3 linked regions of the Coturnix japonica genome follow. The protein of the gene in region 2 purifies or fractionates together with the protein of the main gene of each other region. This does not show direct contact. Links are inferred from orthologs where the notes say so. Each region holds a gene or a part of one and is shown on either strand. Other genes may lie near its edges.

What was found.
Region 1: the proteins of BBS12 (region 2) and BBS7 purify together in Homo sapiens (co-immunoprecipitation; 3 studies listed by BioGRID and IntAct, counting the BioPlex papers as one, with this or other methods). This does not show direct contact. The link is inferred for Coturnix japonica from reciprocal best matches to the Homo sapiens genes BBS12 and BBS7.
Region 3: the proteins of BBS12 (region 2) and MKKS purify together in Homo sapiens (co-immunoprecipitation; 4 studies listed by BioGRID and IntAct, counting the BioPlex papers as one, with this or other methods). This does not show direct contact. The link is inferred for Coturnix japonica from reciprocal best matches to the Homo sapiens genes BBS12 and MKKS.

Annotation. Positions count from the first base shown.
Region 1 is NC_029519.1:48,256,051-48,262,026, forward strand, and holds the start of BBS7 (Bardet-Biedl syndrome 7 protein), read left to right. Parts: upstream 1-1,916; 5' UTR 1,917-2,020; coding exon 2,021-2,056; intron 2,057-2,127; coding exon 2,128-2,193; intron 2,194-2,321; coding exon 2,322-2,384; intron 2,385-3,009; coding exon 3,010-3,185; intron 3,186-3,653; coding exon 3,654-3,840; intron 3,841-4,387; coding exon 4,388-4,460; intron 4,461-5,976. Other genes in the region: TRPC3 (short transient receptor potential channel 3), read left to right, coding at 38-113, 976-1,118.
Region 2 is NC_029519.1:48,044,747-48,050,657, forward strand, and holds the start of BBS12 (Bardet-Biedl syndrome 12 protein), read right to left. Parts: upstream 3,912-5,911; 5' UTR 3,838-3,911; intron 2,575-3,837; 5' UTR 2,427-2,574; intron 1,333-2,426; 5' UTR 1,165-1,332; intron 74-1,164; 5' UTR 1-73. Other genes in the region: IL21 (interleukin-21), read left to right, coding at 3,912-4,046, 4,165-4,200. UniProt on the Homo sapiens protein: Component of the chaperonin-containing T-complex (TRiC), a molecular chaperone complex that assists the folding of proteins upon ATP hydrolysis.
Region 3 is NC_029518.1:11,794,346-11,800,277, reverse strand, and holds the start of MKKS (McKusick-Kaufman/Bardet-Biedl syndromes putative chaperonin), read right to left. Parts: upstream 4,061-5,932; 5' UTR 3,880-4,060; intron 3,123-3,879; 5' UTR 2,889-3,122; intron 2,662-2,888; 5' UTR 2,591-2,661; intron 1,950-2,590; 5' UTR 1,522-1,949; coding exon 537-1,521; intron 16-536; coding exon 1-15. UniProt on the Homo sapiens protein: Probable molecular chaperone that assists the folding of proteins upon ATP hydrolysis. Plays a role in the assembly of BBSome, a complex involved in ciliogenesis regulating transports vesicles to the cilia.

The sequences.
Region 1 (5,976 bases), about 210 kb from region 2:
TACACGTGCTAACCGTGTCTCTGTTTTAATCTGACAGCAAATAATGAAAAGACTGATAAAACGGTACGTTCTGAAAGCACAAGTGGACAAAGAAAATGATGAAGTAAATGAAGGTAAGAGGCTTCTTCACATTTCAGAGGGAATGTTTGTCACATTTATTAGAGTCTGGCATTACAGTGGTGCATGGAGCCTCCAGTTAAAATGAGTTTATTTCTACTTCATGTGCACTGAAGTCATATAGCAATGGAAGTACGTGCAACAAAAATGGACAAGTAGGACCGATAACGTGGAACTGAGAAAGTTTATGGGCCCCATTTACAGATGTAAAGTTGGGGTGCAGACATGGTGCACACACAGTCACAGAGGAAGTCTGTGAGGAAACCACTATTGATGCTTCCAGCGTCCCAGTCAGCCGAATTTGAGTATCTCTTGGCCAGATATCTTATACTGGAAACCCTGACATATCTTGTTACAAGCCCAACCTTGACTATTGTTTCCATTTGTTGTTGTCCTTGTGTCAAGTTGTAACAGTTTTAAATTGGCTGACTTTTTCTGATTCAAAGGATGTTGGTAAGGAAGAGGAGAGAGACTCAGAAGCTGTGAGTTTTGTTGCCAGCTCTGCCACACTTTCCCTGTGTGATCTCGGCATATCACTTCAGAAACAAATCTCTTTTGCCTTTTCTCTCTCCAAGGGGGTACTAACATTTACCAGCTGTTTAGCAGTGTTGCCGTGATTAATTCATTAACCTATGTGGAGGGCTTTGATGTTCTGTGTATGTGTGAAGCACAACACTGGAGTTGGTTGGATCTCAGAGAGGATGAGGAAGAGGGAAAGCCTTCTGCCCCCCTTACTTAGCTCTCATGGATGTTCTGGATGAGCAGGGGATCATCTGAAATAGGCACTAATGCGACTTATCATTTAATGAACGTTTAGCAGACTTTGCTAATAAGTATTTCTTTCCATGGTTAATACAGGTGAATTAAAGGAAATCAAACAAGATATCTCCAGTCTTCGCTATGAACTTTTGGAGGACAAGTCCCAAGCGACAGAAGAGTTAGCGATTTTAATACATAAACTCAGCGAGAAACTCAATCCCAATATGTTGAGATGTGAATGATGCGACAAAGGAACCGTGGCTTCGACTACAGCACAACTATTTATTGGCAATAATATTTCAGTATCTCATACTTGAAAACAAAAAAAAAAAAGTATTGTAGATTTTTAGCACTAAATAACTTTATGTACAGCTGCTCTGGAATTTAGTCATAGGAAATTTTATTAACTCGTCACCAAAACGTTGTTGTCTTCATCTTAATCATCTGAAAGTTAACAACTATCAAACTGTTGTGGTTTTTTTTTTTTTGCATTGATGCATTAAGAAGGTATAGAGATGAGAATTACTGATATTTTAGCAGGTTTATGGATACATGCTGAGAATCCTTTGCACTGAATTTGCAAGAAAAACAAATGAATAGATGTAAGGTAGTGTCGTGCTCCTGGCAGCAGCGAGGTGGGAACAGGGTGTTTGAGCGTGTGGTGGATCAGGTAGAGTGGGGTAGGGTTGCGCTGCTGATGGCAGTATGAGCTGAGGAGCAGGTGAGGGTGAGCACACAGCTGCTGTGCCATAATGCAGTGTGTTATTTCCACTGGTGAGGTGTGGTGGAGGTTGGCTGTTATTTTTTGTAACGACATTTGAAGGGACCGTGATCTCAGTCCAAAGCTCCTCTTCATGCGGTAGAAATGATTTTTTTTTAATTCAGACTCTGCGCAGGGCCGGTATTTTGTGACCCGATGCCTCGGATGCTTCATTGTTAAATAAAATATTGCGATACTTTACTGATACTCGGCCTGCTCCTGCTCGGCCCGTGTGGGGGCGGTCCCGCGGCCGTTGCTCACGGCACTAAGCGCAGCGCCGCCCAGTCGCCGGCCACGATTGTGCGGCTGGGAGCGCTGCCGTACGCGGGCGACGGTTGCCGCGGTGACGGGTAACGGCAGCTCGGGGCCGGGCCCGGCGGAGCCATGGAGCTGAGCCTGAGCCGCGTGGACTACATGCAGGTAACCGGCAGCGCCGCTCCCGGGGCCGAAGGGCCGGGCGAGGTGAGTGAGGGCCGCGCTTCCTTCTGCAGGTGGGCGTCACGGCGCAGAAGACCATGAGGCTGCTCCCCGCGTCGGGTCGTAGGGCCACACAGAAGGTACGGGCCGGCCCGGCTCCTCTGGCGGAACGTGACGTACCGAAGTACGGAACTGCGGTTAGCGGAGCGAAGGGGTGTGTAAAAACCCTTCGTGTGCGCTGACGTAACGCTGTGCTCTGCTTTTGAAGGTGGTGGTGGGTGATCAGGACGGAGTGATTACCTGTTTCGGCATAAAAAAGGGGGAACCTGTGGTAAGTGTCAACGTGCTGTTTAAAGGGGGTCTGGAGCACAGGCCTTATGAGGAGAGGCTGAGGGGGCTGGGATTGTTCAGCCTGGAGAAGAGGAGGCTCAGGGGAGACCTTATTGCTCTATAACTTCCTGAGGGGAGGTTGTAGTGAGCTGGGGGTTGGCCTCTTCTCTCGTGTAATCAGTGATAGAACTAGAGGGAATGGTTTTAAGCTGCGCCAGGGGAGATTCAGGCTGGACATTAGGAAGTATTACTTCTCGGAAAGGGTAGTCAGGCATTGGAATGCACTGCCCAGGGAGGTGGTGGAGTCACCGACCATGGGAGTGTTCAAGAAACGTTTGGATGTGGTGCTGATGAATATGATTTAGCTGGGAAGTATTGGTAATGGTTGGACTAGATGATCTAGGTCTTTTCCAACCTTGATAATTCTGTGATTCTGTAAAAACGGGCTTTGTAAAGCTTTCTCCCTAACAAATCCAGAAGGCATGCGGTTAGCGTTGCTTTTTGTCCCCACGTACTTGGTAGTATCCTTAGTTTTGCCAGTGGCTGTAAAGCAAGTTTAGCATCCTTTGCGTGAAAAGTTGACTGTAATCACAGAATATGATTGCGATTGCGTTTCTTCTTTACAGACAGTGTTCAAAACGCTGCCCGGCCCCAAAATTGCCCGCCTGGAGCTGGGGGGAGCTCTTAATACACCTCAAGAGAAAGTTTTTGTGGCAACAGGATCAGATGTCCGAGGTTTCACCAAAAGAGGGAAGCAGTTCCTCTCCTTTGAAACTAACCTCACCGAGGACATCAAAGCTATGTGTGTACAGTGCCTGCCGCTTCTTGTCTCCATGAAGTTATTCTCAATCTATACTTGTATGGGGTTTTTTTAACCTTATTGTGTGCATGTAGGCAGCACTCGGTGCTGCTCTGGCTTTAGCTTGTGCCTTGGCATGTAGGAAGGAATCTGGAAAGTGACGGTGCAATTGGAAGAGTGTGGGGGGGCTTGGAAGGGGCTTGGGGGCCTTTCCAGCAGTGTGTGTGTGTGCAGGTGAGTGTAGCTGGGGTTATTGGCTTTTTAGCAGCATATTCTTTCCATCTGCCCTGCATGTAGGAGGTCAGGAATAAGATTCTTCTCTTGTTTTTTTGTATGTTCTTGGTTTAAGGTGCTTGTCTTGTAAAAGGTGATGTGTGGAACCTGCAAGCAATAACACATTCATATACTAACCTAACAAAGACATGACTGCAAATATTCTGGCAACATGCTACAGTGTTTTCTTTTTCTCAGGCACATTTCAGGAGCAGATCTGTTTCTTTGCGCAAGCTATATCTATAACCACTACTGCGACTGCAAAGACAAGCACTACTACCTGTCAAGAGATAAAATCAACGACGTTCTCTGCCTTCCTGTAGATAAAGTGAATTGCATTACCCCAGTACTTGCGTGTCAGGATAGAGTCCTCAGAGTTTTACAGGTTAAAATATTTGCTTGTTTTATGTGTTGACGCCATAGCATTGGATTGATTCTTATCGAATAAGCATAAGCATAACCTTATTTGTAAGTGTTGCTGTCTACAGTGCTGGTACTTGTAAAATTAGGATTGATTGATTGATACTACAAATAGTCTCTGGAATTCATGGATAGAAGAAGTAAAGAAATTGTTATAAGTGTTTACACAAAGGAATTAAATGCGTGAGTTGTTGTAAGTTTGAAAACTCACAAATTATTGCTGTAGCAAGTCTGAGTGATATCAAATGGTTTAGCAGAATTGTTTCTTAATGCCACATGTCCTCGGATTATTATGTCATAGTTATTTTAAGTGGTAACACATTTCAAGATGTGCTTTTCTTATAGCCATGTTTTAGTTATATGAAGTTTTCTCTGTTTTGGCTTAAAGGTGATTTTATGCAAGAAAATCTGTGTAAATGAAACATGTCCATATTAAAAAAACAATTTTGTCTTTATTCTTGATTTCTCCTTTTGAATAAGAACTCATTCAAGGTAGTTCTCTTTGTCCCCAGGGATCTGATCTACTGTATGAAGTAGAGGTTCCTGGACCACCTACTGTTCTTGCTCTACACAATGGAGATGGAGGTAACAAATAATGGACTTCTGCTGTTTTTGAGATTGTAACGTTTATATTTGTTAATTACATTTCTTCTTGATTTGAAGCTGATTTGAAAAGGTAGTCAAAAACTATGTGAAACCATATCTTACTGCCCATTCTGTTTATAGAATGTAGTTGTAGAGCATCTGTATGTGTTATGGTGAGAATGGAATTTAGTTGTCCCATATACTGAACTGATGAACAACTCTTTGGTGAGAAGGGGGAGTACTTGAAGATACTTGCTTAAATTATTCCTATCTGGAACACTGGAGGAAAAACATACTTTTAGCAGTATTAAGGGCTTTTGCTGCTGGTTTTCTGATAGAAAAGGTTTATAGGTGGGAAAACTGGAGATCAAAAGCCTGTTGGTAGTAACAGAAATCACAAATATGAAATTTCTGTTTTCATGCAGAAAATCTGTTACTGAGACATAGTTGCAGCATGAAGTAAGAGTGAAAGGCTGGTAGGATTTCAGGTGAAAGCTGGGGAGAAGGAACCATGGGAGTTTAGGTTGGGATGCTGGTAAGATTGCTGTGGAGATTTCAGAGTAGGGATTATTAGCTTCGTTTTTAAACTCCTTTGGATTTTTGTTTGTCTGCATATTGAGGTGTTATTTGTAAACATACAATACATACACGTATAATAGATAATAGTCTCGTGCGGGTTGAAAGGGACCTTAGAGATCATTGAGTCTAACACCTGGGATTTGAGCCTCTGTGTAGCAGAGCAGCACTTCTACCACTTGTGCCACAGGGGGGATTCGAACCCGGGCCCCGGTGTTGCAACGTGGCACTTCTACCACTGCGCCACCAGGGCACACATATGTGCTTGACTGTTTTAGTTCTAAACAATATTTACGTTGCATGAAAGCCTCTTACAGTGGTGGTGAGTTGTAAGGTGATCTTGTTGTGTAAATGGGAGCTGGACTGTTGGGGGTGTCTCGTTCAGGCACTGGGTTGGGTTTCTCTTACATCTGGATTTCTGTAAGTAGAATCACTGCTTCCTTCCATCCATAGATTGATGAGAATTGTGTAGAGCTCACATAAACTAAGGCTGTGAAAGGATCAATCTTAAAATAGTTTGATCTTCCTTTTCGCTAATCTCTTCTACCCTGATACAAATCCCTTTAGTGTGTTAATCTGGTGCTTAATTTAGTTTCTGTTAGATTATTTGTCAGTGTTCAGGTCTAGATTCAAGAAACAGTTCTTACTTGCTTTAGGTGCAGTACAACACTCACAATTAGATGTGTGTTCTGAATAAATAATATAAATGGTTTCTTCTGTAAAGCACATTAAATAGCCCATATTTCCTAAATTCAGGAAAAGTTTGTAAGCAGAACTCCAGAGCGAGGAAGCATTTGTTTTAAAGTGTGTCCTATTACGTGACCTCATTGCAGCCTTTCAATACCTGAAGGGAACTTACTCCCAGGAGGGGAGTAAACTCTTTGAAAGGGCTGACAATAGCAGGACACAGGGAAATGGTTTTAAGTTGAAAGAGGGAAGA
Region 2 (5,911 bases):
GGAAGTTCTTTGTCCTTATATTTCACTTTCTCTGTCAGTGTGCCTTTCTTCAATTTTTATGCTCTTAGAATCTCTAACACAAAATAGAAGAGTGTACAGCTTTAGATAAATGATATGCAATCACTTGTTATCACATTACCAAATAACTGTTTAGTTTCCCATTCTAAATGCTCCATCAACTTCATAACTGATTTATGATATAATAGATATAACTTAAGAATATTTTGGATAGAGCTGTCTCATTAGTATACCTCAATAAACCCACGAATTATCCTGCTGGACAGGTAAAGAGATGAGGTCTGCCATATTTCTGTGATGCTTCTGTGTATTAAGTGACAGTGCTTCATTAAATGCCTGCTGCCCGAGTGCTCTCCTGTGCTGTTGTACAGGCATTCTTTCACACAGAAAGTTTCACTGTAAAACACACAGGGATTTTAAGCACTTCCTACCATTCCCATTAATGTCTCCTCTGATACTATAAACTGCCTTTCACAGTGCATTCATATAAAAAGGGTTTTTTGGACTACATGCAGCATGCACAGCCTGCCAGCTATGAGCAGGGTTCTCCCTTACTTTGCAATGTCATTAAATATTCCTAAAAGTGAAGGGAGAATCAGAGTCTAACAAAACAGCTTCTTTGTTTAAAATATGAAGCTTGCATTGACACAACCTCCTTTGAACAAGGAGAGAATTTTAGAACAGTTCTCACCATGCTTAAGCTTGGTTCAGGGAATTTAAAGCTGCCTTTGTCTGCCATTGTAATTATTTCCTTTCCTAAAGTGACTTATCTCAGGACCATCCATGCACAATTATCTCACTGTTTTTCAGACTATCTCTAGAAACGGCAGTAATTTAACCTCTGATCACTGCATTAGAGCCTTAATTATCACAACTTTAGGAAAAGAAAAAACAACAAAAGATGACAATTGAAATGGTTGTTAGCTACACAGGTATGGTTCTTCTATACAGCTGTGGGACGTGGTCAAGTGCGAGAATACAATCCCAGGAATCTGGAAATGACTCCCAGAGACACAGTAATATCCAGAATGCAGCCGTGCATTACTCCTGTCCAACAAATTATCAAGGACCAACAAAAACGCAATTTCAGTCAGTAATATGTCAAGCACTTCCAGATGGTTCAATAAAAAATTATAGATACTGTACAATGAGATGTTGGGTCCTCATCCAGAATATTATCTACCATTCCAATAGAGATGCCTGCCAATCAAATGGAGGTGTGCAGAGCAGAATGGGTGGGACGATTAGAGGACAGGTACACTTCAAGGCATCAGTTTGCTTAGTCTGGCGTCAGAGGGGGTTGGACTGCTCTCTCTATGCAGAGCAAATGAGGAAACATCGGTCAGAGGAGAAAACGATCTAAGGTGAATGACAGCATCAGTGTAAGAACAGAAGAGACTAAGCTAACAATCAATGCATCCAGGCTGGAAGTAAGAATGTCTCTGATTGCTAAGCACAGAGACTTTAAGAACCAACTATGGAGGTAAACACAACTGTTAAGTAATTGTGACATATTGTCATGGCAGGGGGTAGGAGCTGATGCCTCTGTGTTGCCCGTTCAAGCCCCGAGTTCCTGAAAATACACCGGCAGCACTAACTGAAGTTCTTGAGTGGTCCTGAAGTTGTCTGGTCAATGCAGTGGCATTTTTGCATTAGTAACTGCCAGCCATCTAATAAGCTAACAGAGTCATCCTCACATCCAAATGGAAACCTTCTAACCTATCAACCAAATAAAGCTGCCTAAAATAAAAGCCAGCAGAGCTACCATGTTCACCCATAGAAGCTGAGATCAAAGAAACTTCTCAAAAAAAATTCAATTTTGAAATGCTAACAAAAAAGGCAGAAACACATCACCGGTCTGCTCCTTAACTATGAACATTTCCAACGGTATTATCAAAAACTGGATTGAGAACACAACGTATGTTTGTCTAAATTACTAGTCAATAGCCTGGAGAGAAGATGAAGATTCAGGTTAAAGAGGAGCAGACTTTAAGAATCAGCTTGAATGATAAGGAATTTGTATACAGAAAACAAACACATCAGCTTAAATGCTGAGAGATTTTGAAATGGACAGAAATCCATCATCCCATCTGACTGTCTGATTGACACACCAGACAGATAAACACAAGCATTCTCATATTACACAGACTAGCCTTCCAAGCAAAGACAACATCAAACTGAAGTCCAAACTCCTACTTTGCAGAGCATCCTCAAAGCTGTCTAAAATCTTCAAACTTCAAGAGGCCGAGATTTAAGACACTTAGGTACCTTTTCATTTATCACAGTGAAGGAGCGCAATTTTATTTGCTCTCTACCAATTCTACACAGCAACTTTTTAATGGTCATACAACAGTGTTGATAACCATTTATTACTGACAGCACATAACAGTCATTTAAAGACATTTTACCTCCTTGCAATGAAGTATTAGGAGCAGTGGAATTGAAAAGATTCCTAGAGGTGGCAGCTCGGAAGTCCCCTTTGCTCACACAGGGCTGTTCTGTGTGCTCAGCGCAAGTGAGTGAGAGCAATGAAAACGTGGCTTGGGCTGGAGGAAACTGATAGTAAATAAACAAGTAAACAAACAAACACACAAAATGAGTACATTTGGGAATGTCTACAAATACCACAGCACTCATTTAGCAAGAAGGCAACTGAGGTATCCCCCATAAGAGAACATTCCTTACTGACATCTGTTGGAAAAGCTCCTACCTTACGTGTCTTTCAAGTAACAATCTCAAATCTGCTTCCTCAAAAGTAGCATACACACTTCATTGCAGTAAGCAACAATTTTGAAGGAAATCATGGGAATTTGACTTATTTCTTAATTCAGATCATTCTGCTGTTTTTATTCTCTGTTTAAATTTTGTTAAGTGCATTTTTAATCTATTTCACACCGCATAAAGATATTTCTTCGTTCTCAAGAGAATTCTCTGGTCTCAGAGAACTTCCATTGAAGGAGTTGCATAGAGAAGCGAAGCTAACATCCAGCCTAACTGCAATAAAACATAACTGAACATGTTTAGCTGCCATATCCACTCAGTCACAGCCTCAATGTGATAACATTCTGAGGGACTGAGAGCAACTTAGTCCCTGGCCCTCCAGTATCGTGCCCATCTGGGCAATGGGCATGGGATGGGAATCCACTTCTCCTGTAGCAATGCATCTCCATGAGCTCAGACCCCTGCAAATGCACTTTCAGTCCCCAATGGACATGCTCATTAGCACAATGATAAAAAATGTAAAATTAGTTTGAAGTAAAAAGTGGACCTCAGCTGGCTTAAATGTGAAAATGACCTACTCACAGCAGTTGCAGAAATCATGCATGAGTGTAAAGGTTCAAAGACATCAGCTTGGACAAGCTACATATCCTCTGGAGTTATAAAGAAAAGTAGGATAAATTAGCTTTCTGAAAAGAAGTCCTGTCATATTTCATCAGCATGATATGAATGAATTACAATTGGATTGAAGAGATTTGTTGCTGCAAGAAGCAGGGAAAAAAAAAAAAAAAAAGAAAAAAAAGCAGAATCTTTGTTTACCTGGGCCTGTGGTTTCTAAGCATCTACTTTTTACTACGTTCATTTTTTGACTCAAAGCGAAAATGGGAATTCACCCTTCTCTCTTTTTTTCCTGTCCAATGTGCAGATGGGGCATATTTTAATTCACTCCATCAATCCCTGCCCCCTACGCACAAACTCACCTTGCCAATGGAAAAGAAAAAAGGGTTACTCATTAATCCATTCTTCAAAGCTTTCCAAACTGAAATGGGTGGGTTTTACATATGCATCAAAGACCAATATATAGGTAGGTGCGTGGCATACCTGAGCACTGCTCAAACTGAAGTGTTCATCTTGGATAGCACAACTTTGCTCCTGACACAACAAAACTCATCAGTATGGAGAGGATGATTGTTTTCTGTATGCTCTTCTTCTGTTCCAGTATGGTGCTGACTGCAGCTCCACCAAAAGCAACAAAATACAAACAGCTTGCAAAGACAATTGACCAACTAAAAGATGTAGTGAAAGATAAGGTAAGCAAAGCATTTGTCCTAATTCTGAAATTATTTTCAAGTATGATGTATTGAGTGTATCTTTGGAGGGCATTGCTCAAATGCTAAACTTTTCTAATTTAGATTTGTTTTATTGTAGGATGTTGAATTGCTGCATACACCAGAAAACCCTGTGGTGAGACTGCTTTAACATTTCTTTCTAACTATATCAAATGTATTTTGTATTGGCTGTTTCCACTGACAAATGGTAGATGTCTTCCTTTTCACATTTATGTCCTAGAACACTTAGTGCAAGGTGGTTTGAAAATGCTTTGATAAAAGTTCCTTATTCCTGGATTTTTCATGCCAGAAGCCTTTATATGATACAGTCTTAGTTACTGGGTTAGTGATAGGTTAAGTTGTGCATTCTAGCACATCCACAGACTCAAATTTCTAAGTATTCCCTTTACTCAGTGCCATGAGTACAAAATCTACATGACTAGCAATGCTCCTGAGGATGCAGTTTTTGGGCGAGGAAGTGTCTGCAGGTACTGTGAGCTCCAAGTGCATTGGCAACACTGCTGACCAGACCCTGAAGGGATCCCCTTTCCCTCCCACTGGAGATAAATGTCAATATTATATTACATAGCACCTCCTTTCATGCAGTCACACTGGTTTCTGTCAGACTTCTTGTGAGCAAAGCTTGTGTTACCACATAGACGAGGAGACACAGCTGCATTATGCAAGTATTATCTTTACATTATGACTTGTTAGAATAACCACAGCAGGTCCCTGCAAATCTCTTTTTATACCAATATTTATGCATTTTAAAAATGATGATGTTATGTGTTACTCAAAGTCAGGAACTTCTCATATGTATTAAGTTACGCCAGTCACAGAAAGCGCATGCACATCTACACACTGGCAGGATGTGAGATTTACAGCACAATGAAAAGCTACAAACAACAGCACGTCTTACAAGTTTAGAAACTTGTTGTGTTCTGCATTCTTTTGATAATCCCCAACACGCAATGAAGACCTTGTTATCAGTTATCTTAAATTTACCCATTGCGTTTGTTTGTGGGTATGGACACCTATTTTAGAATGTAAGCAATTTTAAGCAACGTGCAAAAACAATCATTGTGCATATTTAATACAAAAACAAACCCACTTGCAGAGTATAAAGGTGTTTCACTCAGCACTGTAAACTTTTTTTGCAAACTGCAAGAAGAAAGGAAAAAAACTCACCTCTTTTCACAAAGCTGTTTGCTTCCTCCTAAGATTTACAGTTGGGTGCATTTTTGACTTGCCAAAAAACATAGAGGAGCATGACCAAAACAGATACGTTCCATTCCGTCTTATTGCTAGAAACAACTGCAGCGCAGAAAGCAATACAACCAATATAACTGTTGGGTTTTTTTCACTAGCACTCTTTCTAACTCGTACTGTCAAACTGAAAAGAGCCAGATGGTTCGCCGTCATTTTACTGCAGAGTTTACTGCTACCTCTGAAACAAGCAAATACAGCCAGTGACTAATCACTTCATCAGGTTGTTGCTTTTTTTTTTTTCTCTTGAAAAACACCATCACCTCAGGAAGGAAGACAACAGTTCATTTACAGCACAGGGCTTTACGGGCTGACTCTGGGGGGGTCCTGAGTACCTCTGTCAAAAAGTATAGGAGATAAAGAATTTAGGTATTTAGAAGGTTCTAAGATCGATATAGGTTTGACCCCCGATGGAAAGCTAACAGTAATTATTAAGAGTAATTGTTAACAGTGATTATTACCAGCAATTACACTGATAAGGCTTTCATTCTTTGGAGTGAAATATACATTTATTGAATTATCCAAATATATATATGTTATACATTCTGTTATTATACTATATATATTATACGTCCTACCAG
Region 3 (5,932 bases), on a different chromosome or scaffold from region 2:
CTATAGGCTTTGAACCTGTCCAATTAAAAAAAGAACAGCATGCATTACTGTCATCAGAACTGCCTTCTACTGCATCTCACGAAGCATCAACTATTTTCCCTTAGGCTTTTTACATTTTGTATGTTCTTCAATAATTAACATTTGAGTCCACGCAGACAATCACAAGCAGAGAACAGAATGTTTTTAAAGTGTAAGATTTAGTTCAAGATAAAGAGTAACTTTATAATTCTCATTAGACAAGAGTTTGAAAACAACTGACACATACAAATAGTTGCTAGAATTTCATACTTCTCACAGAACAATCAGTGATCATTTGCGCATTATAGCATTGCAGTCAGCCAGTACAAGACCAGTCCTCTTATGGAATTGTCTTCAGTATGGAAAGCAGCAGTTTCTAGTCTGAAACGCTTGCTCTGCTGCTACAGTAGAATAAAGAAGAAATAGGAGACCCCTGTCCCACAATCATATCTAGAAAGGTTTTCATTGTGAGACTAGCAGTAAGTGTAACTATGAAGTATACAAAAATCACTCATTACCTGTCACTTGACTCAGGGGTTCCATCACTGACAGCCCAGCTCTGTCCACAGCAATGACGTGGTTATCTTTCAGATACTGTTTCAGCGACGGATGGATGACTTTCTGGCACACTACAAGGCCAACTTCATCATTAACCAACTGCTTTCCTACATTAAGCAACTGCTCAAGCTCTGACATTTCTAAGGAAATTCTGTGGTGGACTGTTACTGTTCCTTCTTCTGGGTCAAAAAGGTCTCCTGACATGGACACACAGAAAACTGCTACCTTGACAGCGTCAGAAGAAGTTCTTTTGACAGAAAACGGTTTTGCAAATTGAATTTCTGGTGTTTCTATCAGCAGACCAGGAACAACTGTAGAATCCAGAACTCTTCTACCCTTCACAGACACTGTTACACATTTTCCTAAAATAGGCTTAGTTTCAGGATGGCATGGAACAGTAAACATAAAAGCCTTTACAATCAGTACAGTGAGATGATCAACCTCTGTTTTATTAAGCATGCAAGCAGGTTTGCTTGTTAATATGCTACGCACCAAGCAAAGAAGAGTCTCAAGATTACCAAAATCCACAGATACTCGGCAACCACAGGCCTCAGACTTGAGGTAGTCAGTACATAAACTCAAAAGATGTTTGCTTATTTTTATGACAGTGCAAGGTGCAATATTTAGGTTTCTAAAGTTTTCAATCAAGCTACAGCAAAGAATGGCAGTAAATAAGCCACAGTCACTGAAGCGGGACACATGGTTCTGGACAGAGGCTGTCAAAACCTTTAATACAGGGTGACTGACAGAAAGACGACCAAGTATGGCAGAAGATTGTGATGTTAGACAAACATAACCTCCCAGACCATTGTGGAGCTGTTTAAGTCTGCCAGCAGGCCCATAGCAAGATTTTAATATTGCAGTTAATAGAGACAGTGGCTGACTAACTGTAGTTAGAGGTTCACTAATAAATAATGATGGCTTTTTAGCTTCAAGGCGAGACATTTTCAAAATTAGATTTTAATTCTGATAAAGAGAGATTTCATTCTTACTTGGACCTAGAATTCACAGCACTTTAAAGTAGTACATTTTTATTCTTTTCTGACAAAGATTACTATTTTAAACGTAGCACAGTATGCTAAGCACATCTGATTCTGCACACAGACACCTAAAAATGAGGCTTAAATCCCACTGTGAAATTGATAATGACAGCTGTAAGCTCATTCATTCATGCTTTCATACTTTCATTATTTCTTAATTTCTGAGTGTGATCGAGCAGATTTTTTTGCAACAAAGTTCACAAGCATCGTTCCAAAATGGACACCTATCAGCGACAGTCCTGCCACAAGCAGAAAGTTCTTTTTACTCCAGCTAGGTTTCCTCATCTTCCCTTCTGGCAACACTCACAGGAGATGTTTCAGAGCTAATTACACCTACAATAAAAACCAGAAAGGTATTAGTATGATCTCTCACACCAGTATCACACAGCTTTAACTGCTTGGTTTTTTCCCCAGAAAAAACTAACTTAAGGACAAAAACTACAGTATGATATTTTAATTGAAAAAAAAACAAACAAAAAAACAACATGTTACATAGAGGTATGCAGTACATAAACTACACATTTGCATTACTACTTTTACTTCTGACCTCTAGGCTTTACACTACTTTACGAATAGGTCATGCATGGTACTACAAAACACACCAAATGGTATGAAAGCATCAGATTACAATGATGTTAAGCTGTTTTTAAACAAAGAACAAAAGAAGTGAGACACTTCAGAAACAACAATCTTAACACACTTAAACAACTTCTGATCTCTGCCTCAGAAAGAAGGACTTCTTACTTCAACTTACCCAGCATACACTTATTCTTAGCTCTTAAACATTTCAAAATGTAGATGCATTACTTACATCTATCTACATGTAATGTCTACAGTAGACTTCACTCATTAGAGACTGTTAGACTCGATCATTATTTTGTCCTCTAACCACTATTAGTGACACACAATGTGTTACACTATGTGAAGCCATAATTCTGACCAATTTTAAACCTAGAAAGGACATTATTACATACCAAATCAGACACAGGAGTTTGACTGTCGCCTTGAAAACTATTGGGGTTTGTTTCAGAGTAACTTTTAAAACCTGCAATGCACCACTTAATTAATCCTGCTAAAGAGCACTGATAAGCAGTTTGAGAATTGACATGCATCTAAAAAAAAGTTATGTAACTACCAGGTTAACTCACCCACAAATGAATTAAACTCAGTAAGACAAACAGCAAAACACCAATACTGCCTTTGCTAGAGAACTGATTTAATGACCCATCTCCTGCCTCAAAATATGCAGAGGCAACTGATTATGAATCTTACCTAAAACAAACAGCCCTGATGTTATTTTTCCTTATTTTTGCGATCCCTTTGCATTACGTATGTCACAATCCCAGGTTCTGGAACAACCTCCTCTGTCTTCACTTGGAAAAGAGGACTGGACTTGATGTGGAACCACGACCAGTGCACCAGGCCAAGGCTAATTCCCATCACAATCAGAACTTTGTAGTCCTTCCATAAGGTTTTGAGGCTCATCATAAACTGGCATTTATGTACCTAGAGAAAAATAATTTAAATATATTTCAGAAATAATTTCTCCTCTCTTATAACTCAACTCAGAACTCAAGCTTGAATGTAAATATCGTTAATTACAATGCAGCAAATCATTACAACCGCAAGACACAGGATAAGCCTTACTTCACAAACTCCAGGAATAGAAAGGTTTTAAAAGGAACCTCAATTCAGACATCTTGATATGTTAATCACTACGTTGCTTCAAGTTTTGGCACACTACACGTTAAAGCTTCGCGACGTTTCCCTAATTACACATTACCACCTCAGACAGCGCATAATTTAAAGCTAAATCAACAACATAAAGCAGCTTCAAATATAGTTTCTCTTGCACAGTTAACAAAAATAACTAGTGGGGCTCCTCAGAGCGCACCAGCTTTTAGCTCACGGGCTGAGCAAGCTGCATTCGGGCAGCAGAACACCTCAGGCTGCCTGCATTACCTCTGTGCCCTTCAACCTCAGAAACAAGGGTATGACGAAATAAACTCAGCCACTCTTATAGGGAACACGAAGAACTGCTCACACGTAGTTTCATGGAGCAGTACGTATCAATATGTGCATAGGAAGCGAAAATTACAAGCAGCTTGATTTTATATCAAGATATCTTCGCTTCCAGAGCTACAAAGGCGCAGCTCAGACAACAAGCGCCCCCGGCCGCTTCAGTTTCTCACTGCCGAGGAAAAACCCGGGGTTGTAGGCCGGCCCCATAACAGCAGACACTGAGGGAAGGCCCCCACCGTACCTCACGCGGTAACACGTCCCTCCTCGTAACCTCGAGACACAAATGGCCGACGGGACAACGGCCGACACTGAAGCGGATGGAACGAGCCGCAGAACCGTGTGCCCGCACCACGACACGAGCCGGGGGCGGTGTGAGGACACCGCACGTTCCAACCCCCCACAGCCGGAAGAGACACTGCGGGGACCGAATGTGCCCCTCCCATCCCGGCCATTTTAGTTTAGGGTAAAAAGCTGGGCGGGACGCGGCTACAAACGGCGGCCATTTTGGATAGGGGAGAGGAAGCTCTCGCTTGGCAGCCATGGGCTCCGCCCATTGGAGCTTCCCGGCAACTTTAAAACAGCCGCTTCGTCTTCTGTGCCTGCTGTGTGCGTTACTCCTGTGCTCCTCTGCCCAGCCTTCCTGCAGGTAGATGCTGTTAGCTGAACGAAACGAGCTCGAGACATTCTCAGTGCCTCAGCTCCCTATCAGCATTTCCTTCTGCTTATCTTACTCTGTACTTCTGTATTCACTCTTTCGATCGCCGTCGGTAACATTATCTGTCATATTTGCCCGTGGTTTCAAGTCAGTGGAGGATTGCAGAGTTGGTAACTGTAGCCAAAAGGCAGGTTTCTTAGAAGTTAACATAGGCTTTAGTGTCAGCTCTGAAAGGAGCACAGTAGTTCTGAAAGAAATGCATGGAACAGATGGGATTCACTCAGCAAGGCCAAAAGATCACAGCCAGCACATCTGACTGGGCACTCTGGTGTTCCTCTCATTTCTTTCAAATAGCAACAGAGAGGAAACATGCCGTTGTTGTGCTCTAAAGGTGAACTGGCACAGTGTTTGCAGTCCAACATCTAAGCTCTGGAGACTTCAGAAAAAAAGCCTTTTATGTTATTATAATTAATTGTGACTCTTTTATAAGCGAAACTAACAGTGGCATATCCTAGGAAGGTATCCAATTATTGTTTTGGTTTTGCCTTTTTCAGGTGCCCGCCTCTTCTCACACACGATAACAGCCCCCAAAGATAAGCAAAGCATGAACAACTTGTAGCGTTAGAAGTTGCTGTACATGGGCACGTGTGGCAGGAGTTCTCAGTTCCTTACCTCTACTGAATTCCAAATTTCAACAGTGCCAAAAGCCACTTCTTCACTAAGGTAAGATGCTGTAGATCATCTGACTGACTTGTATAATACTATCATAGGAATAGCAAGTACTTTAATAACAGCAGGGTAGCAAAGCCATCAGCTACAGGAAATGAGAACAAGCCCAAACGCAGTAGCAGTAAAAATAAAGAAAAAGAGCTGCTTACCTTTGGGAGGCCTCTGGTAGGGAGGGATCTCCAGCAAGAGATGCCTTTACCTCCATTGCCAGCCCTTAAATGAGGTCTGGGAAGGGGTGGATCCACCTGTTTCAGTCAGGAGCATGGCATACTTCTGAACTCGCCTGGGTTGGCCCTGCTGCCAGGTGCTCAATCACTGTTTCAGGTCATGGCCTAACATTTCTGCTAAAACTTGCTTTCCGGGAAGCCTCATTTCCTCAATTTACTGAGCATCTGCCATTTCAATTGACCATAAGTTTTAGAGAATAAACTATTCTATCATGTCATTTTTAGAACATACCTCTTGCTTCTTCCGAGGAGGTTGTGTTTAGTTCTTGGAGCTTGTTTTGATGTTTGTTCATTGTGTTGTGTTTTTTTTTTTGTTTGTTTTTTGTTGGTGTAGGATGTCCATCAACAATTTAGGTGTTTGAAATGCTACTGGCAACATATCAAGGCCTTCTTTGTTTTAGAGAGTAAAACTTCTAGCTAAGTTTTTCTATTTGGTGTAGTTGTCTTTGCATTTTCTTATGGGTGATTTTATTTAATGGCTTGTGTTATTCTGTGATGGATGCACTGTTCCATGAGTCAGATTTCATTACCAAACAGTGGCAATTGTAACAGATCTCCATACTTTGGTCACAAACACACTAAATATCAAAGTATTTTGGGGATGGCTGGTGTCTTTTATTGAAGCATTATTTTGGGGATTTTTTTGCCCTCATTTCTTGGTGTATCAGTATTACAGTGTTTCA